Linked DNA regions of Oryctolagus cuniculus. The protein of the gene in region 3 binds, or shares a complex with, the protein of the main gene of each other region. Links are inferred from orthologs where the notes say so. Each region holds a gene or a part of one and is shown on either strand. Other genes may lie near its edges. The genes, in order: NR5A1, NR5A2 and NR0B2.

Evidence for each region.
Region 1: the proteins of NR0B2 (region 3) and NR5A1 are in contact, whole or in part, in a crystal structure (PDB 1YMT), measured with the Mus musculus proteins. The link is inferred for Oryctolagus cuniculus from reciprocal best matches to the Homo sapiens genes NR0B2 and NR5A1. Residues at the interface, in NP_035980.1 of Mus musculus: Thr19, Ile20, Leu21, Tyr22, Leu24, Leu25, Ser26; in NP_001303616.1 of Mus musculus: Ile275, Val278, Arg282, Phe287, Val292, Gln295, Met296, Leu299, Gln300, Asn450, Leu452, Glu455, Met456.
Region 2: the proteins of NR0B2 (region 3) and NR5A2 are in contact, whole or in part, in a crystal structure (PDB 1YUC), measured with the Homo sapiens proteins. The link is inferred for Oryctolagus cuniculus from reciprocal best matches to the Homo sapiens genes NR0B2 and NR5A2. Residues at the interface, in NP_068804.1 of Homo sapiens: Arg17, Pro18, Ala19, Ile20, Leu21, Tyr22, Leu24, Leu25, Ser26, Ser27, Ser28; in NP_995582.1 of Homo sapiens: Phe354, Val357, Arg361, Phe366, Val371, Asp372, Gln374, Met375, Leu378, Gln379, Asn529, Asn530, Leu531, Glu534, Met535.

Annotation. Positions count from the first base shown.
Region 1 is NC_091432.1:228,370,904-228,377,535, forward strand, and holds part of NR5A1 (steroidogenic factor 1), read right to left. Parts: intron 4,423-6,632; 5' UTR 4,408-4,422; coding exon 4,306-4,407; intron 4,221-4,305; coding exon 4,079-4,220; intron 2,573-4,078; coding exon 1,947-2,572; intron 1-1,946. UniProt on the Homo sapiens protein: Transcriptional activator. Essential for sexual differentiation and formation of the primary steroidogenic tissues. Binds to the Ad4 site found in the promoter region of steroidogenic P450 genes such as CYP11A, CYP11B and CYP21B.
Region 2 is NC_091444.1:16,220,736-16,228,110, reverse strand, and holds the start of NR5A2 (nuclear receptor subfamily 5 group A member 2), read right to left. Parts: upstream 4,308-7,375; 5' UTR 4,060-4,307; coding exon 3,996-4,059; intron 1-3,995. UniProt on the Homo sapiens protein: Orphan nuclear receptor that binds DNA as a monomer to the 5'-TCAAGGCCA-3' sequence and controls expression of target genes: regulates key biological processes, such as early embryonic development, cholesterol and bile acid synthesis pathways, as well as liver and pancreas morphogenesis.
Region 3 is NC_091438.1:144,598,217-144,605,548, forward strand, and holds NR0B2 (nuclear receptor subfamily 0 group B member 2), read left to right. Parts: upstream 1-3,663; 5' UTR 3,664-3,937; coding exon 3,938-4,478; intron 4,479-5,312; coding exon 5,313-5,554; 3' UTR 5,555-5,879; downstream 5,880-7,332. UniProt on the Homo sapiens protein: Transcriptional regulator that acts as a negative regulator of receptor-dependent signaling pathways. Specifically inhibits transactivation of the nuclear receptor with which it interacts.

The DNA.
Region 1 (6,632 bases), on a different chromosome or scaffold from region 3:
AAAAAAAAAAACAAACTTGGTGCTGAGTCAGACGCCTCTGGGCTGCGGGCAGGCTGACCATGCAGCTGAGCCCCCAGCCTCTGCATGAGCCGCAGGAGGCCACAGCCTGGGTGGTGGGAGCGAGACCCTCCCCACCCAGCCCCAGCAGGCTGACCATCCCCCACACCGACGGACCCACTCCTGGTGGAAGCTGGGCTTCGTGAAGCACCCAGAAATCCTTGCACACACGAGGTGACGTCAGCCTAGGCTGCTCCCGCTGCCTGGAGTGCCACTGGCTGCCCCGCTGGCTCCCTTGGTCCCCTGGGGGCCCGCACATGTCTCCTTGACGTTCCCAGTGCCCAGCCCCAGGGCTGCCCCACCCTCAGAGCCAGAGAATCCTGCCTTCTGTCCTGGGAGGGTCCACCCGGAGATGAGGTCCACCCGGAGGTGGGGCGCTGGACGGCCAGCCCAGAGGGGCAACAGGGCCACTCAGTCCTGTCCCCGGTTTTCTACCGCCTCGTCCCGAACTTTGCAATCAGATCCAGCCCAGCACCCCTCCCCACATGGCCAACAGGTGAGGTTCGAGGTGCTGGGCTGGTGCTTGTCTGCAAGGGTCCTTTACCAACGTGGGGGTGGCAGGGTGCATCCTGGGCTCTGCTCAGAGGCTCTGGGGAGGGGAAGCAGGAAGGTTTGGACCACAGAGAAGCCAGAAGCAGGAAAAAACACTCAGCGGAGCTGGGACAAAAGCCCCTCCCATCCTGCGTGCAAGCCCCCGGAGAGCAGGAAGGCGGCCAGAGGAAGTGCCCCGCCCCTGGATCCAGGGTTCTGGAAGGCTGGGAATGTTCTGCTCCTCCCCCTCTGCACAGGGGGCTCATGGGAAGTCTGAAGGACTTAAGCTCCATGTCCCTGCCAGGGCCTCTAGCCACAGGTGACAGCAGGTGAGAGCATCCAAGGCCCTGCCCCTCACCCCTGCAGGAGGCCAGCCCAGAGGGGCCGGAGAGAGCAGCTGGCCTCGGCGCAGGCCTGGGTCAGCCCAGGCCCAGCCTCCTGCTGCCCCCTGCATGCACGGTGCCCACGCCCCACCATGTTTCCCCTCCATGCCAGTGGGGCAGGCAGTGCCCCGGGCCCATCCGGCCACATGGCCCTGGAGGAAGCCCGGGCCTGAATGGCGTCAGTGCTGACAATGCCGCTCAAGGCTGCCGTGGCCCCAGCACGGAAGGCAACAGGCCCTGCTACTTACGGTCAGCCCCAGAGCAGTCAGGAGGGCCAGTCTGGGAAGAGCAGCCCCCAAAGGCCGGGGCTAAAGGAGGGGGATGAGCCTTGAACAGGCTCGAGGGGCCTCTGGGGAGGCTCAAGAGGAGCCAAGGCACGAGGGGGGCCTCAGGCCCTTCACACGCTGAGGCCAATGACTGGGAAGTCCTTCCCTATGTCTGGCCTCGGTTTCTCCTGCTGCGTTTCTGCTTCCTTTAGCCCCAGCTACCTCAACTGAGGGGAGAGAAGTCCACAGAGGAAGGCGAGGTTGTCTGGGATCTGTGGCAGCCCTGGAATCCCCCTCTTCCTCTCCTGCCTAGCTCCCCTGCATACACACACACACACGCACACACGCACGCCAACACATACCTCCATCATACACACGCGATGCACAGGCAGAAGGGGAAAGACCCACGCACAGCCCAAGCTCAGAGGTACTGGCATTTGAGGACACGATGGGCTGGCCTCTTGGGAACAAGACTGCGTCCCAGGGACTCACGTGGTCCTTCGAGGGAGCCCAGGGTCTCAGAGGAGGAGACAGAAACGCTGTGAGTGACCCAGACAGGGGAATAGAGAAGCAGAGACAGAAGGGGCTGGGGAGGCAGAGGCCATCAGAGACAGAGGAGAGGGAGGCAGTGGGGGCTGGCGCGGCCGCCCTGCCCCCAGACCGCCTGAAGCCACTGGGCGGGGCGGCCCCGGAGGGAGAGGGGACTCACCTCGAGCTCCTTGAAGACCATGCACCTGCGCGCCCAGTCCACGATGGAGATGAAGGTCTGGTCCGCCATCCTGCACAGGAGGCCGAAGGGCGCGGGCTGCTCCGGGCGGCCCTTGGCCGGGTCCTGCAGGCAGCCCACGATGCGCGCGCGCACCTGGTCCTCGTCTGGCTCCAGCTGCAGCAGCTGCAGGATGAGCTCGGGCACCCCAGGGCCCCCGGAGAAGGGCTCCGGGTAGTTGTAGGGCGGCCCAGGCTGTGGGGGACTGGCATAAGGCTCCGGGTATTCGGACTTGATGGCGCGGCCAGGGAAGCTGGGGTAGAGGTAGCCGGCCAGTGGCCCGTGGGCCCCGGGCACGGCCATGGGCAGTGCCGGGGCCCCAAAGTCGCCCAGTGGCCCAGCGGGCGGACCCGGGGCCAGGCCCTTGGGCTCCGATGCGTGCAGGTTGGGGGGCAGCATGTAGTCCGGGGGGGGCGGGGGAGGGGGAGGCACCCCCATCGGGGGCCCTGTCTCCAGCTTGAAGCCATTGGCTCGAATCTGCGCCTTCTTCTGCTGCTTCAGAGCCCGGTCCCGCTTGTACATGGGCCCAAACTTGTTCCGGCCGCCCCGCATGCGGTCGGCGCGCACAGCTGTGGGCAGGGGCAGAGGGTCAGGCTCAGCCTCCACACCACCTTCCACTGCCCTTACCACAGACCCTGGGCTCACAGAGCACACTAGGTCACTGCCACACTCACTACACACCAGCAACGTCAGTCTCCTTAACCAGGCATCTCCAGGAAGTATTCCGGGATTCACCCCCACACGGAACCTACTGTCCCTGATAGCCTGCCCCTTGCCCAACCTTTTCACACTGAGTGTATTGTACCCTGTGCCACAGGCCGAGAGCTCCTGGGTGCTTGGCTCTGGGCTCTGGTGCCCAGCACAGGGCCTGGCAGGGAGATGGCAACAGGAAGGGGCCCCAGTTAGCCTTGTTCACATCCGGGTACTCGGCGACCAGAAGCTGGACTGACTGAAGCCCTCTTGCCTCACACATTGCCTTCCAATCAGAAGCTGACTTTAGGGCTCGCTGGGGCTCTGTGCTGGGGGAGGGGACCTCTCTTGCTGACCAGATGTTCCTTGGGCTGGCCAAGAATGTGTCACCAGCCAGACCCAACAGGTGCATCTCTGCAGTTGGAGTGTGGCCCCTGCCCCTGTGCAAACAGGACCCCACCCTGAGCCCGGGGAGAAGGAAGAGAGTGGGGGGACGAGCAGGGATGGTGGTGTGGGAGCAGACAGCAGGGTCCCGCTCCCCCGGGACCTGGAGCTAGGATGTGGGCTGGGGGACAGGGCAGGACAGCCCCCTCCCGTCCGGGACCCCTCCTCTAGGTGGCAGGCCGTGTGGGCTGCAGCTCTCGAGCCCCGGGAGCCTTCTATGCCGTTCTAAAGCTTTAGCCAACAGCTGCCTGCTCGGCGCACGGCCCGGCTGGGGCCAGCGGGGTGCAAGCCGAGAGAGCTCCAGTCCCTACACTGAGAGCGGGGGCTGCGGGCAGGCAGACGAGGCGGGCCTGGGTCCCCCGCCGGCAATCACTCCCCACTCCCAGCCCTCCCAGGGCCTGGCTGAGAGCACGTGGGGGAGGAATGTCTCCTGCGCAGTGAAAGGACTGGGTGACGCTGCAGATGGCTGGACGGACAAAAGATGGGCTGGCCAGGGACCGTGGGCAGAGAACAGCAGAAAGGACCATGATGACAATACTGGCGATGGCCAGGTACCGCCTGCCGGGCTGGTCCTCACGTCACTGTGAAGCAGGCCAATCCTAACACTAGACCTGGGGGTAGAGGGGTGGGCGGTGGGTCCTGCTACTGTAAGCCCATTTTCCAGATGGGGCAGCTTAGAGAGGTTAGGAACCTGCCTGATGCCAGCTGGCCCATTAGTGGGGGCACCAGGAGGAGAACTGGCCGAGGCCATGAAAGCCTTGGTGCTGGGTACCCGCGGTGGGGGTAGGAGGTGGGCGGCTCTGCAGCCGCTAGGCTGGCCCTCCGCAGGCCCGGGGCCCACACCACCCGGCAGTGGGGCTGCCCCTCGGGCCCTCGCTCAGCGCCACCCCACCCCCACTGCTCGGCCGCGGGAGTCGGGCCCGAAGCCCGCGGGCGCGCACCTTCCAGGCGCATCCCCACCGTCAGGCACTTCTGGAAGCGGCAGAAGGGACAGCGCTTGCGCTGCGTCTTGTCGATCTTGCAGCTCCGGCTCTCGGTGCACGTGTAGTGCTTGTTGTTCTGCACCGTGCGTTTGAAGAAGCCCTGCGGGACAGGGGAGTGAGCGCGGGCCCCCGGGGTGCCGCCCGCTCCCGCTCCCCGCCGCTCCCGGGACCCCGGCCCGCCTCACCTTGCAGCTCTCGCACGTGAGCAGCCCGTAGTGGTAGCCGGACACCTTGTCCCCGCACACGGGGCACAGCTCGTCCAGGTCCTCGTCGTACGAATAGTCCATGCCCGCCGCGTCCGCCTGCGGAGGGAGGAGCGGGTCACTGCGGGCGCTGGGCCGACCCCGCACCCCGCGGCCGCCGCCCCCACGAGCCCTCCGAGCGGGTCGGTCGCGCTCTGCCCCGGGGCGCCCCAGGCAGCCTGCAGCGGGGCGGGAGCTGCGTCCCCGTGCCCGTGCCCGGCTGGCCCTGGCCGGCGCTCGGCCCTCGTCGCTGCCCCTCCTGGAGACTCCTCCCGCGCGGTCCCCGCCGCGCCCGATCTGGGACCCTCGGATTCGATGCGCTTCGATCCGGATTCGTTTGTCTGAGAACAAAACCCGGATTCTGAGAAAACGAGAGGGTTCGGGCGCGGGCGCGGGCGCGGGCGGAGACGCCGAGGAACCCCGGCGGAGTGGGGGCGCAGGGCCCCTGGAGCGTTCCGAGGAGCCGAGGAGGCAGAGACGAGGCTGGGAGAGAGGCAGACGCCCCGGCTTGGCAGAGCGAGCCCCCCAGCCGCGCGGTGCCCGAGCCAACCCGGGGGCGACCACGGGGACACGGGGTCGCCGAGGCACGGGACCTGATGGAGACACAAGACCAAGGGAGGGCTGGCGAGAAGGGAACAGAAAGGAAAAACCTGGAGAGACAGGCGCAGGGTCCGAGACGCGGCGACAGTCACCAGACAGAGACGCTGAGAGAACAGAGACGCTGGGAGAAACCTGGAGACACAGAGGCACCCAGCAGGAGGGTCGGGGCCTGGGGGCGCGCGGACCACGGCGAAGCGAGAGCCCGAGGGCCGAGGCGCGGCCCCGCAGAGCCGGACCCGCACAGGGGCCCTTGGCGAGAAGCGCGCAGCCCGACGGCGCCCGGGACAAGACAGCCCGAGAGCGCCGAGCCGCCCGGCCCCGGGCCGGAGAGACAAAGCCCGCGGCGCGACGGCAACGGGAGGAGCTGCCCTCGCCGCCGAGTGCCAGACGTCGGGCGGAGAGGGCGCGGCGGGGACCGCGGGCAGAGACCCCGAGCGCTCCGGGAGGCCGCACCCCAGGCGGCGGAGCGACCTCGGGCGCAGAGTCCAAGTCCCAAGGAGGGAACGCGCAGAGTCGGGGCCCCGGGACGAGAGATGGGGAGTGACGGCGGCCGCGGTCCGACCGGCGCCCACCTGGCGGCTCCTGCGAGCAGCGCCCCGCGTCCCGCCCGCACGGAGTCCCGCACCTCCCGGCCACGCCGCTGCCGCCGCCGGCGAAGAGCCGCACCCGGGCACAGCGCCGCCCGCCCGCGATGACGGCCGCTCGGGCCGGGGGCGGGGAGGCGGGGGCGCGGGGCCTCGGCACTCCCCCCCCCCGCCTCCCCGCCCCCCGCGCTCCAGGGCCGCTCCGAGGCGCACCTGGGACCCGGGCCCCTCCGCCGCCACTGCGCGCTGCGCGAACCCGCTGCGCGGGGCCGGGGAGGGGGCCGGCCCCTCTATATGGAAGCGTGCGGTATCCGGGGGCGGGGGACGGGCCCGCATCTTCTCCCGGCCCGGCCAGCGCCCTGCCCTGCACCCCCCAGCCTGGCTCGCGTCTTCACCCTGGCCCTCTCGGCGCCCCCATCACCATCTCGGCCCCCGGAGCCCGTCCGCAGCCAGAGCGCGGCGGAGCTGGAGCACCCGGAATCCGGGCAGGTGTCGGGCGCCCGGGAGCCTCGAGCCCCGCACCCGCGGTGGGAGAGGACCCGCGCCTGTCTGCAAGCCCGGTTTAGCCGTGGCCAGGGCCAACTTGGGGGCGCCTCTCGTTTGGCAGCGTGGAAGTGGGTAAGGGCGAGCGCGGGCGTGGTGGCAAGCACGGGTTCAAGGCCTGAAACCAGGTTCTCTCCTCGGCCCAGCCCCCTTTCCCCACAGCGGCCTTCCGCGGACCTCCCCCACCGCCTGGCCTCAGTTTCGGCATCTGTGAAGTGGGAATGATGACCAGGGGCGCCGGTGAGGAGGAACCGGAATGGCACTCGCCGGGCACGTGCCTGGCATGGCGGAAGGGCCCTTTCTCCACGAACCGTAGTTTGCTCTGCTGCGGATACGAATCGAACGGAGTTGGAGGCGCCTGGGGAGTCCCCGAGGCCAGGCGGGGCGCGGAAGTTGGGCCAGCGGCGCCACCAAGGGCAGAGGCGCCCCTAATCCCTCCGAGTTCTCCTGGCAGGGGCTGGGAGTGGGGGAAGGGGAGGCCCAGCAGCCTTGGGTACAGAGGGGCCCCCGAGCCCGGGGGCCAGGACGCGCAGAGAAATTGCT
Region 2 (7,375 bases), on a different chromosome or scaffold from region 3:
GGACCAAGGCTGCCGGAGCCACAGCTGGGTTTCTCCAAAGTGCTTTTAAACAAAGCGACCTAAATGGTCGCTTCCCACATCCACTCCTCCCCAAGAAAACAGTGTGTTTGCTTCTTATAGCTGAACCCAGTCAATTTGAGACATTCCCACCACCACCACCACCCCCCCACCCTCAAGCCCACCAGCTCTGGCTCTGCAACAAGTAGATGCTCTGAGTTTCCACTTGGTTCAGCCTTCCCGGTACAGGGCACCTCGCTGAGCTACACCACAGCCAGTCTGAGATCCTTTCCAGGAACCCCTGCAAGAGGAGAGCGGGGTGCCTTCCCAACCCCGGCACCGACCTCAGCACTCCCAGATGCTGTTCTTACTGTAGTCCCAGCCCCATCCCGCCCTTCAGAATCCTACAGGGATCCAAATCTGATTTCCACAGTAGAACGAAAAGAAAGATAAAACCATTGACAAATGTCTTTCTTAAGCCCACAGGTCTTTTGGAAGAAAGTCTGAGTTGAGCAACTTTGCTGGAAATCATTATTTCTTTGTATTAACAAGAGCACGTGCCAGTTACTACCTCAGGGAGACAGCCTGGCATTCAGAATCCTACTTGGGGGATTCTATTTGCAGCTCACCCATCTTATAAGCCCCGCCCCCCACACGGAGACCTTTCTGAGCCCACCTTTTCAATGGGTGAAATGGATGCAACAAAGTAAACTTTATAAATGAGACATTGCCGGGTAAGCAGCTCACCCTGTGGCTAACAAATGCCACTTCTTCTTCCTCCAGTCCGTCTAACTTCACTCAGATTCATCTTCTATAAGGGAAATCGTGTAGAAAAGAGGGAGCCAATAGCCACTCTAGGATGGGTAAGGATGCAGCCTTCCGGGGCAGGTGCTTGTGAGCTTGATTACCCTGCAGAGTTTGACATGGTGTTCAGGGACCCTCAAATCTGTCCACGGCATCTGTATTCAGGTTACTTGGACTATAAGTGTTAAGTATATCTTTCCTATCATTCACACAAACATACATATAACAGAACTTCCCAAAATGCTTTTAAAAAAAAAGAGCCTTTATCAACTTGTCGGGTCAATTTCAGTCCACCTGCTTTTCTCAAGGTTAATCTCTTAAGCTCACACTGGTCATATTTCAGCTCTCTCCTCCAGGGCCTCCACAGAGTACAACACTCCCCAAACTCCTCAAGTTCTTGGAAGCCAACTGGACTTCTCAGAGAAGGTTGTCCCCACTAAGGTTAAGAGTGAGGAAGTTCAACTCCAAGGAGCAGCTGCATCCTGGTGTGGGTTCTGGACCTGCTTTCTGACACTTGCCCTGCCTACATCATCCCTGCAGCTGCTTTTTTTTTTTTTTTTTTTTTTTTTTTTTTTTTTTTTTTTTTTGAGGGAGCCAGGGACCTCTGTGTTCCAGAGCCCCTCTCTGGCTCAGCTCAGGTTCAAGGCTGAATCTAAGATAACCCTGGACATTGCTAGAGGTTATCTCTGAAGGAAAATCAGACACCAAAAGTGTTCAGGGGACCAGAAAGCAAACCTTCTATCACACACTCCTTTGTCCTGGGGATAGTGTATGGTATGAAATGGAACGTGCATAGCATTCTGTGCATGCACTTTGAAGAACTATGTAAAAGTTAATGCAACTCAAGCCTAATGTTGGGAACACTGGCATCGGGGTGGGGGTGATAGACACAATAAAATAAGCCTGTGTTCCACCTACAGACATGGCTGTTTGGTTGATACAGATAGGGCGAAAAAGCCTATTAAGTTAGGACTAGGTATCATTCCGCCTGTTTGGGAGAAAGGAAATAATGTAGGCCAGAAACCAAGAATCTGGCCAGTACCCCAGAGCCAGTCAACTCCAAGCAGAGAGTCTGGTCTCAGCCCAAGTCTGCTGCCCTGAAGCCACACTGAGTGGTTCCAGTCGCAGGCAGGAGGAACACCTGTGGTCATTCTGCACACACCTCATCCGACCCCCCCCCACCCCCGGTGCAAGGAGGATCTCACCCCGACAGCTAAGGCCACGCAAATAGCTTTTAGTAACACAACTCCTAGGAGGACTGGAGGGGATTAAATGCAGCGGTGGTGGGACCCTGGCGTCTGCAGGCTCTGGCTCGGTTCTGGGCACCACTCCCCCCACCCCCGCCCCCGCTCCCACGTGCATTTTGCCCTCTCAAAGCCACCCGGGGACTCCTGCCGCTCCCTGCAGCTGCACCTGTGGCTTCTCAGCCCCGGGGTAGTCAGAAAGACCCACTCAAAGGGGTCAGCCTGCCAACCGCTCGTGGCCTCCTCTCCTCTCCTCCGGCCCTTTCGACGGCTCGGTCCAGCCAAAAGCCCCGGCGACGGCCCTCGGGGCTGAACAGACCGTCCAGGACCGCGAGCCGTCGCCCCTGGGGAAGCCACACCATCACGGGGCTGCGGCATCTGCAGAGGGGACAGGGGCGCGCCTGGGCCGGGCGGCTGCGAGGAACAGCCGGGAAGGGGATTCTTTGACTAGAAACTCGGAACTTGGCGGTGCGCCGGATGGCTTCAGGGTGCAGGAGTGAGCTCGTGCCTCTCCCACGCGAGGCTCCGGCCCTGCGGGACCCCGCGGGGCTCCAACAGCCGCCTCCCGCCCATCCCAGACCCGCGGGTGTGCTCGGGAGCGCCCCGCCCCTGCCCGCGCACAGCCCCGCAGGGCGCGGCCGGGCGTCTCCCAGCTCCACCGCCCACCTCCCCCTCTAATTCTCCCCTGGGGTCTTGGTGGGTGGGGGGGCCTAGCGGGCGAGGCGCGCGCGCGACCCCCACCCAGCCCGGTGCAGGCCGTCACGGCCTGCAGCAGCCGCGCGCAGCCGGAGCCCGGGACCTCTCCGCGCGCGCACCGCGGGGCGCGCGCACCGCCCGTGCGCGCCGCCCGGGCCACCCGCGCCCCCGGCCCGACGCGCGCAGGGCTTGGCGGCGGCAGGGAGCGAGTGCTCGCCCGCGGGGCCGCCCGGCCGCGGAGCCCGAGGCGTTCCGGGGTTCTCTGGCCACGCTTGCTTGCGCCCGCATTTTCTTTGTTATCTGCAGAGCAATTGATTCTCGGGTGCACTCTGCGTGCCTCCCCCGTGTTTTCTTTTTCGTAAGTACAGAACTTTTTTTTTTTTTTTTGGTAAACATTTCCTCAGTTGATGTACGAGTACTTTAGGGTGTAGTTGGCCCATAAAAAAGGCAATCAGTGCCTTCGGTGGAGTCAGCTGGCAGCCCCGGGGGAAGGGGAGAAGCCCGAGCCGGCCCGGGGTGGCGCCGCTGGGACTCCGGGCTCCGCAAGGCCCCCGCACGGCCCCGCAAAATCGGGTCCCGGAGCTTTGCTCAGAGCCCTGCAAGTCCCTGCCCTTCCCGCCTCTGCTCTTAGCATTCACTGAATGTAATCTTGCAGGGAAATGAGCAAGTTCGTGACTGTCCTTTTTCTTGTTTAAAATGAAAAGTAGCTCTATGTACCTATTTCGGTAAAAGCAAGACGTGGTCATTATTTTTACAGAAGATAGCAATTTTTCTAATTCTTAACTAATGCTTAATTTTTTTTTCATGACTTTCATTTGCTAAAAATACCAGTTTTCTACAGTATCTGTAGGGACTTGAAAACTATGATAAAGTTTGATTAGTGATCACTCAGTATGATTGGCTTGTTCCAAGTTGTTCAAATTTTAGTTTATTATTTCCTATTAGAAGTTGTCAGAATTTATTAAGGATAAAATTGATCTATTTTGAATATTTTCTGGCTGTTTTGGGCTAATAGAATGACGTCCAAAAACAGTGGATAATAATAACAATATTCATATGTGGAATTAGCCACTAGGCTTTTTTGAACTGCAGAAAAGAAAAATGTGTAATATATGCGTGGGTTTATTATAGGCTTTTAATAAGCACAAAGAAAATCCTTGACTTAAAATGCAAAACCGTCAATGAGATTAAGTTCCATGTATTCAGTAGTAGCACAATAGTGACTGGGTGGTAAATAGAGCGACTGCTACTTACCGGTAGGTGTGAGTCCGCGCTTTAGATACTGTTGCACATCCCCAGGGTCCGAATTAGAAGACATTCTCAGTGAGAGCACAGGCAGGCCTTTGGCTCACAGCAAAAATCATGGAGCGCAAGAAAAAATACAGCTTGTCATCTTTTGTGGCCTTGGGAAGAGACACATCAGACTACAGTAACCCTTAGTGAAAGTTAAGAAAAAGAAAAAAAAAAAATCCAGAATTCAGAAAGTTACAAGCAAGTCTTTCCCTGGACTCTGTACTGTTTCCAGCGTGAGTGACCTGTTGTAAACCATGTATCCAGTTTCACGATGGTTTCTAATCAGAAGAATGGAAACTTCTGATAGGCTTCACTGGACCACATGACTGTATGCAGGTCGATAAGCGGACCCTGTTATAAAGTGACAGCAGAAGAGATAAGAACTCTTGGCAGATAATGGCAAAGAAATGATTAACTCAGAAGTGGAGAGGCGCTATGCAGCACCCAGAGTGGAAAGTTGTAAAACCGAGGGTCAGATCAGACCTGGTGGATAAAACTGCAAACCAGCCTAAATCCACTAACTAAACTCAGGCTTGTGACATAGCCCCTTGATGTCATCAGCTATTTGCATAGAGGAGGGCACACGGGGCTCTTCTGACCTCTGCAAATATGGGTTAGATGATAAACACTGACAGACATTAATTCTGGGAGGGCTGACTGCAGGTATGATCCACACTTTGAAACACCACGGGTTGCCACGCCAGGCTTGTGGCCATTTATTTAGTCATGTTTTGGTCAACCACCTGTTTCTTTCTTTTTTTTTTTTTAAGTCGTAACTGTTCATTAGTGAAGGAGTTCATTTGAGCTTGTTTGTACATTGGACATTTGGTTAAAAGGACAACCTCTCCCCAATAAAGCAAAACCTACACTTTGAGATTAATGCTGAAAGATGACGAATGTGTAAGTAGCTTTTCTATAACTTTAAAGTTGTTATTTATTTGTTTGGGTCCATGAAGAAAATCTGTGCTACTCTTTAGCACTAAAGGAGTAGTACTCAAATGGCCAAAGATAGTTTGTTCTGTTGAATATCCCTACTGTTATTCGAAGTAATAAAATCCAGATTCTTAGAGCAATGCATGTCTTTTCCCACATTGTGGAAGTGTGCTGTTTTTCTTTTTTGGGTTTTGTTAATTGAGTAACTTTGTATTCCTTTGGTCTACGATCCTATAAAAATATTTATATACACTGTTTTTCCTATTCAAAATATATTTTTTTAAGAATTAGTCTTGACTACATATTATAGAAAAACCTGAATAACCATGGTTGAAACAAGATGCTTAGTTCTCTTTTCTAAGTGGAGTTGAGAGGTGGGCAATCCAGAGATGGAACAATGGCTCTTCAAGTCTGGTTCAGACCACACTCCTTCCTTTTTTACTTTCTGCTAACTCTCATCCTCATGTTCCAAAATGGCTACTAGAGTTCCAGCCATCGCTCTTAGGAAGCAGAATCGAGGACGAGGGGAGGAAGCATGTTCCTTTTTGAGAACATTTCCTTAAAGTACCAGGCTCTCTCTGTCGGTCTCGCTGGACCACAGGTAGATACCCATCTATGATTAGCTGCAAGGGAGAAAGGCAACTGAGGTGTTTTTAGCCAGACAGCTAAATAAGTACCCAAACGAAAAAGCATTGGGTAATTACAATTATCCTGTCAGCTTTTTGCTGTTATTTCCTTAACTAATCATGGCATATTACCAGAAGTGGACCCGTGTGTATGTTCAAGGACATGTGACTGGAAAGCAAATGTTCTGTTTAACTGATTTAGGAATCCAAAAAGCTGTTGCTTATACAACTTATACTTGTTAGTATCTGTTGTGTTAAAAATTAAAACAGAGAGACTTTAAAATGTTTATTATTTATATTTAACTTATTAAAATAATACCTAACTCATTATATATCAACTTACTTTTACTGTGGTTCATTTAAAAATATTTATTTATGCATTTTTATTTCTTTGAAAGGCAGAGAGCGAATAAGAGAGATTCCATCCATTGGTTCACTCCCCCAGATGCCTGCAAGAGCTGGGGCTGGACCAGACTGAAGTCAGGAGCCAGGAACTCCATCTGGGTCTCCCATAGGGGTGCAGGAACCCCAGTACTTGGGCCATCATCTACTGCCTCCCAGGCATGTTAGCAGGAAGCTGGATCAGAGCAGAGGTGAGACTCAATTCCATGTGCCCCGATGTGGGATACAGGTGTCCCAAGTGTTGGCTTACCCCTTTATGCCACATATTAGTTTAATGGCACCTTTTAAAGAAATTATCCAAGAGGCGTAGAGACAGATATACAAACAGAAAGCCCCCATTTACTGGCTCACTCCCCAAATACTTGGAACAGTCTGGGCTGGGTCGGGTCAAAGGCAGGAGCTGGGAATGCAATGCAGGTTTCCCACATGGGTGCTAGGGACTCAACTACTTGAGCCATCCCTGCAGCCTCCCAGGGGGTGCATCGGCAGGAAGCCGGAATCAGGAGCAGGCTGGGATTCAAGTTCACGTACTCTGATAGGAAATGTAGGCATCTCAAGTAGCACTTTAACTGCAAGGCCATATGTCCAGCCCTAATGGTATACTATAGATTAAAAATATTTTTTAAAAACAAAATAATTAATTAAAAGTTACATTTTGACCAAAAAAAGGTCTGGCCTAGTGAAGACAGTGGGATTCTTATATCTGCTTCTGCAATTTTTCTAAATTTTTTAAAATATTTATTTATTTATTTGAAAGGCAGAATTACAAGAGAGAGAGAGAGACATAGAGATCCCCCATATACTGCTTCATTTCCCCCAAAAAAGCTGCAATGGCCAGGGATGGACCAGGCTGAAGAAAGGGGCTGGGAGCTTCATCCCAGTCTCCCACGTTGGACTTGGGCCATCTTCCACTGCTTTCGTTAAGTCCATTAGCAGGAAGCTGGATCAGAAGTAGAGCAGACAGAACTCTGACCAGTGCTCATATGGGATGCTGGCATCGCTGGTGTTGGCTTAACCTGCTTTGCCACATCCTGGCCCTTTCTACGTTCTCTCTATAGTGATACTGTCTTGGTTGAAGTATGTGAGAAAATATGAACTCACAGATGTGCAATTAGAAAGGGAGGAGTATTATAGCTTTTTCAGATAATTATGATATTTTTCTTTGATACTGCACTAGAACTTCACAAGTAGTATTTTCCTGAGGATTTGTTGAAACTTGAAAATCCGAAATCATTATTAGTGAACTTTTTTGTACTCTACAACATGAAAATTTGTTGGCCTATTTTATGCTTCAAATGCATCTTCTACGTGTGCAGAGTCTTGTAATGTATATTGTAATTTGAAAAGTGTGAGTTCATTGAATTTTGTGGATTTTCCAAC
Region 3 (7,332 bases):
GGGACCTAGATTCCAGCGCAGACCTAGCTTCCAGGGGCCATCTCCCTTCTCTCTCTCTCTTCCTGCTCACTTCTTCCAGAAAATGAGGGTGAAGGCAACAGTAGCAGCCACAAAGCCACCTTTTATGGAGCACCTGTTGTGTGCAAGATACTTTGTATCCTAACGCACTGAGCCTCACTGAAGCCTGGAGGGGCAGGTTTTCTTTAAAAAAAAGAAAAAGATTTATTTTATTTATTTGAAAGAGTTACAGAGAGAGGTAGAGACAGAGAGAGAGGTCTTCCATCCACTGGCTCATTACCCAGATGACTGCAACAGCCAGAGCTGTGCCAGTCCGAAGCCAGGACCAGGACCTTCTTCTGGGTCTCCCATGCAAATGTAGGGGCTCAAGAACTTGGGCCATTTTCCACTGCCTTCTTAGACCATAGCAGAGAGCTGGATCTGAAGAGGAGCAGCCGAGACTTGAACCAGCACCCACATGGGATGTCAGCGCTGCAGGCCTGGACTTTAACTTGCTGTGCCACAGTGCCAACCCCAAAGGGCAGATTTTCTGTGGCGCTAACCCAGCCTGAAGCTCAGGGACCACACTTGCAAGGTTCATCCTAGGCACGGGGTGAGGCCCCAGCAATGTCTTTGGGGATCAAATACATATGTTTTTTGCTTTTTAATTTGCAAAAGTAAAGTTTCAAGCAGGGACGGTGCTGTGGTGCAGCAGGTTAAAGCCCTGGCCTGCAGTGCTGACATCCCATATGAGTGCTGGTTTGAATCCCGGCTGCTCCACTTCCAATCCAGCTCTCTGCTATGGCCTGGGAAAGCAGTAGAGAATGGCACAAGTCCTTGGGCCCCTGCACCCACGTGGGAGACCCGGAAGAAGCTCCTGGTACCTGGCTTCAGATCAGCTCAGCTCTAGCTGTTACAGTCATTTGGGGAGTGAATCAGCAAACGGAAGACCTCTCTCTCTCCTCTCTCTCTCTCTCTCTTGTTCTCACTCTTGCTCTACCTCTCTCTGTAACTCTGTCTTTCAAATAAATAAAAATAAAATTTTTAAAAAAGTTTAGAGCTACAATTGGTTAAGATTACTGTGGCTTCCCCTGCATGCTACTTGCACATTGAATCAGGAGTTTCCAGAGAGGCCACAGGGATTTGGGCATCCAGCTGAGGGCAAGTGTGCTGGGGATATGTTCAGCTGGGGTGCGGTGGGATACAGGGAGGTGGCTGGCAGTTGCTTGTGGGTATGGCTAAGTCTTTGTGCGCTATCCTGATGTGGAAAGAACTTCAGGAACGTCCCCACCATTCACTGTGCATTGTACCCCTCACTGAGCAGGGTCTCATCCACACCTGTGTGGATAGTGATGGAGCAAGAAGCAAAACCATGTGTAATTTTTTCAATCACCACCACATGTATAAATTGTCATTTTCATGTTGACATAAACTCAAAAAGGATGTTACCTCCTATAAGGGATCTGAAGCATGTATAATCACAGATGCTCTGTGTATAATTTTATTGTTAATAGAAATTAGACAAAGTAGAATTTATCAAAATTTCTACTACACACATTCTCTCTCTCCCTCTTCTTCTCTCCCTCCCTCTCTCTCAAATTAAAAAAAAAAAATCCTGCTACAAACTTATGATCTGTACTGGTGCTAGTGACTGTGTGTAGTGGCCTATTTTATGTATCCTATCAAGAATAAAAAATTTGAGGCCGGCGCCACGGCACACTAGGCTAATCCTCCGCCTGCAGCGCTGGCACCCCGAGTTCTAGTCCCGGTTGGGGCACCGGATTCTGTCCCGGCTGCTCCTCTTCCAGTCCAGCTCTCTGCTGTGGCCCAGAAGGCAGTGGAGGATGGCCCAAGTCCTTGGGCTCTGCACCCGCATGGGAGACCAGGAGGAAGCACCTGGCTCCTGGTTTCAGATCGGCACAGGGCGCCAGCCGTAACAGCCATTTTGGGGGTGAACCAACAGAAGGAAGACCTTTCTCTCTGTCTCTCTCTGTCTAACTATGACTGTCAAAAAAAAAAAAAAAGAATAAAAAATTTGAAGACTGGTATTGTGGCACAGTGGGTTAAGCTGTCACCTGCAACCCTGGTATCCTATACCCAGTGCTGGTTCAAGTCCTGGCTGCTCCACTTCCTATCTATCTCCCTGCTAATGCACCTAGGAAAGCAGCAGAAGATAGCCCAAGTACTTGGGGTCCTTGCCATCAGTGTGGGAGACCTGGTTGGAATTCCAGGCTCCTGGCTTCTGCCTGACCCAGCTCCAGCCATTGGGGCCATTTGGGTAGTGAACCAGCAGATGGAAAATCTCTAAATAATAAATAAATAAATAAATAAATAAATAAATAAATAAATAAATATTTTAAAAAGACACTTTTTGATCAACCATGCAAGAGGAAAGATAAAATCACTTCTCTATTCTCACTGTAGAAAATAGTTTTTTAAAAATGATTGCCAGCCCCCCCCCCCCCGATCATGGGGTTATTCTCTAAGAGATTGATCCAGAGCTCTCTGATGAACTGGTTGATTCCAGGGACTGGGGAGGTTGATATCAGAAAACAAAGGAAGGTTCCAAGAATGCTGAGAGCAGATCAGGAGGGGGCTATCAAAGGCCAAATCTGTGACAATCTGGGCATCAAAATAGATAATGAAGGGAGGGTGTTGTGGCACAGGGCGTTAAACCACCACTTAGGACACCTGCATCCCGTATCAGAGTGCCTGGTTTAAGTCCTGGCACACTTCCAATTCAAGTCCCTGCTGAGGTCCCTGGGAAGCAGAGGATGATGGCAGGTGGCTGGCCAGGGTGGGCTGGGCAAGGTCTAGAGACCTCCTCACTCTCTCTCTCTCTAGCCCCATTGGCTACCGTCTGAGACGGATGTCAGGATGGAGGAGCCGTGTGGAAGTAGAGCGCCGTTTCTGTCCCAATCACAAGCAGGCCTGGCCCCACTCTGGGGGACTCAGGCCCTGGCTGCACAGTTGAGCCGGTGCGTCCCGAGGAAGGAGCCAGGACTTTAGGGTCAGGCAGCTCAGGGTCCCATTCCTTCCTGGAGGGATGGCTTTGGACACGTCACGTCACCCCTTTGGGTCTCACAAAGGAAGAATCCGGAGTCAACACTAGCTCTCAATATTGGATCGGAAGAGGCCTGGCCCCCAGCAAGTGCTCAATACAGGCAGCTGTGGTTTGTGCTCATTCTGGAAGGACTTTTCCGCAGCCATGACCTTTCAGGAGCTCTAGGTATCCAAAACTGGGACAGGGGAGTCTGCAGCATTGGGTTTCTGCAGGGCCCCCAGAACTGGAGTCAAAGGAGGGGCCACACAGCACAGTGGGCAAAGTCCTCCCAACCCCCCCACCAGGGTCCTGGCTCCCTTCCCCACAGCCTGTTTCTTACCAACAACACGAGCAGGGCCCCAAGGTTAGGCAAACAAGCTAGTGATAAGGCACTTCCAGGCTGGGCCTCGCACTCAAGGCTCGTCCAGCTCCAGAGCTGGCTTCCAGGCTTAGCAAGAGCACTGGCCTTGTGCACACGCAGGAGCAGGCACCTTTAGGGACACCAGCCACAGCCACATGCTGATTGTGCACCGGAGGCCTTGGTGCCCTGGTACAGCCTGGGTTAATGACCCTGTTTATCCACTTGAGTCATCCGATAAGAAGCAACCGGTCAGCAGGCAGGTGGCCCTGTGCCCCGCACTGGCTACTTCATTGACTGAAGTGATATCAGCGCCACGTGGAGCTCCTAACGGCCCCGCCCTCGCCACTTCCCCATCAGTCCTGCCAGGGTCAGTGTGCGTGTGCGTGTGTGTGTGTGTGTGTGTTTCAATGAACATGACTCCTGGAGTCAAGGTTGCTGGCCCATTCCTCCCTCCTGCCCACTGGGGATATAAATAGCGCTCGCAGCACAGCACAGAGGGCAGAGAGCAGGGAGGCAGTAGGAGTGGAGCCGTGACCATGAGCTCCAGCCAACCAGGGGCCTGCCCGTGCCAGGCCGCCGCAGGCCGCCCGACCATTCTGTATGCACTGCTGAGCCCCAGTCTCAGGGCCAGGCCCTCTCTCCCTCCATCACGCAGCCACTGCCTGTGCAGGGAGCATCGGCCCGTCCGGCTCTGCAGCCCTCATCGCACCTGCCGGGAGGCCCTGGACGTTCTGGCCAAAACAGTGGCCTTCCTCCGGAACCTTCCGTCCTTCGGCCGCCTGCCGCCCGAGGATCAGCGGCGGCTGCTGCGTGGCGGCTGGGGCTCCCTCTTTCTGCTGGGTTTGGCCCAAGACATGGTGACCTTCGAGGTGGCTGAAGCCCCTGTGCCCAGCATACTCAAGAAGATCCTGCTGGAGGAGCCCAGCTGTGGGGCCAGCAGTGGCCAGCTCCCCGACAGGCCGCAGCCCTCGCTGGCTGCCGTGCAATGGCTGCAGTGCTGCCTGGAGTCCTTCTGGAGCCTGGAGCTGGGCCCCAAGGAATACGCCTACCTGAAAGGAACCATCCTCTTCAACCCTGGTGAGCTTCCAGACACTTCTGGGTGGAGCTGGGAGGGGGCACGGGGCACCCTCCGAGGGCTCAGTATCTATTATACTACTGGGTCCCACAGGGCCATCTCACACGAGGGGCTGAGTGGCTAGCAGGTGGGAGCAGAGCAGGCGTGAGAACTCGGGCCGGGCCGGGCCCCCTGACCCTTTGAGGGGAGGGCGGCTGACACAGCCGCGTCTCAGCACGCTCTCAAGGGCAGGTGGCGTGGCGAAGCTTTGAAGGCTAAACTCCCGTGTGGGGTCAGAAAGTTCCCATGGCGGGGGGGATGGGGTGGGGTGGGGTGGAGAATGAAGGAGGTGCGGGGGAGGCAACTCAGCGGGGAGGGCTACAGATAGAGATGGAGATGGTGTCCTTTGTAATCTGGGGGCAGCTGAGGAAAGCGTGCCATGCCAGAAGGTCCTTGTGCCCACTGACTGCCCTCCCCGCAGCAGAACCTCATGGTGTGGTTACCATACGGACCTTTAGATGCGCTAACTCCTTTAACCCTCACGGCAAGTCTTGGAGACAGGTGCGGTCATTATCATCTCCACTATACAGATAAAGAAACTGAGGCACAGAGATTAAGCACCCTGCCCAAGGTCACTCAGTCATCAATGATGGTGCCAGAAATCCAATCCAGGCAGCCCGGTCCTTAACCCTTACCTTATATGGCCTCGCTGTCGATGGATAGATAAATAAAGTGATAAAGAAATCGATGGAGGAGGTAGTAGCGGAGCCTTGAAGGCTGAGCCGACGAGGCAGGTGATGCCTGCTGGTGGCGGGGAGAGGGTGCTTACCAGACCTGTCCGTCCTCTCTGCTCACAGGCGTGCCAGGCCTCCAGGCCACCTCCCATATCGGGCACTTGCAACAGGAGGCCCACTGGGCGCTGCGTGAAGCCCTGGAGCCCTGGTGCTCAGCAGGCCAAGGCCGCTTGGCCCGAGTCCTTCTCACGGCCTCCACCCTCAAGTCCATTCCGGCCGGTCTGCTCGGGGACCTCTTCTTCCGCCCCATCATTGGAGACCTGGACATCGCCGGCCTCCTGGAAGACATGCTCCTGCTGAGGTGACATGCTGTGGCCCAGGCAGGGGTCAGCCATAGCCTGTGCAGACGCTGGCCATGCCACTTCAGCCTGCCTGTCCCCAGGGGTGCCCCGCTGCTCCTGCACAGCCCCTCTCTCAGCCACCTCCGGACTGGGACTTCCTTGGCATGGACGTGGCGCTCCAGCTGTCTGGCAGGCCCTCTGTGGTCTCCAGAGGCTCTGCGCCCAGACTCCTGTCCCCTCCTGCTGATGGCAAAGGACTGAAGCTGCTCTTTGGGCCGGGGGAGTCCTGCTGGCTTTGTACAGAACTGAATTTAAGTTATTGGTTTTTGTAATAAAAGGTGTGACACTCTCCGAGCCTGCCACTGTGTTTTGGGCACACGACAGGGACTGTCTCACCTCCAGGGCCCACCTGCTCCTATCAGAGGAGGGCAGGGGTCGTAAGGGGCACAGGAGCCAGGCCTCAGGAAACGGGGGTGTGAGTTGTTCTGGCTGGGATGGCGATTTCATCTCTGAGATGAGATTCATTTTGCATGTGGGGGAGTTCTCAGCACACAATGTCACCTCCTTGCCTTTATCCTTGGAGCGAGAAGGCTCTTCTCCCTGTCCCACGCCTTCCACTAACCCGTCTCTCAGCGCCCGAGCCCTGCAGACTCCCTCTCTCCTCAGTGAAAGTTGGATCAGAGCCGGTCAGGAAGCAGCCTGTTCCCAAATTGAAACAGACCAGGTGACTGCAATGTCTGCAGCTTGGGACCCGTCACTTGGCCCATTCCTGCAGCTGGTAGCACAGGGGGGTCCATTATTTCCCAACAGGAGAGGGCAATGGCACCCGGGGCTGGCCTGGCAGCTACTTGGAGGCCAGGGCAGGCCAAGGTTCCGCTGGCTCACGATGGTGTGGCCTCATCTGTTGTTGGAGTCTGAAACACTTCCGCAACAGTTGGTTCAGGGCCACCACCTGTAGCTCCCTGAGTGCCCTCGCACCGCCCCTCTCCCATTATCTGTTAACCCAAGAGCCAACGCGTGCCATAGCCATGGCCTCTGCACTGCTTCATTCAGAGCCGGGCTTGGGGCTGTTCCGATCAGCCAGTGTCTGTGCCTCATCGTTCGTTAAATATTTGAACCCACTCTCCCCGGGGTCAGGGTGACTGACCTGAAGGGTGGACAGGAGGGAGCGATGACAACACCCTCGCCCGCGGGACTTCCAGGCCTCCTTTCCCCAGCAATGAGGCTGCCAGGCCCCGCCCCCATCACCACCACAGTTTGGATTCTTCTCACGGGGGCTGTTAATTATTGCCCAGTGAGAGGTCATTCACTTGGGGACAGCAGCCTGGGGGGTCATCATCCAGGCCTTTCTCTAGGGCCTCCTGCTGGGACCACAGCCGAAGTTGCCTGTAGGGGTGCCCAGTGCCAGCAGCAAGCAGCAGCACCCCGTCCCTTACCCAGCACCCCACATACACACACACACAAGTCAGGCACCAGAAAGACACAGAAGCACAGAGCTCCAACCACACAACCAAGACCCACGTAACTCAGCCCCGCAGCTCTGCTACACACACACACACACACACACACACACCCCAAGACGTACAACTCAGACCCACCCCAGCAGGCCCATGACACTGAGCCTCCATCTGCCTACACACACACTCACTGGGAAACACACAGGAGCCCCAAACACATTCACAGCAGACACGGGCCCCCACGCCGGGCAGCTACGCACCCCAGGCCGAGCACACTCCAGCTTCGCAGAGAAGGGAAAGGTGGCCCCCAGAGTTTGCAGATCTTCAGGGCCTGCCTAGAGCCCG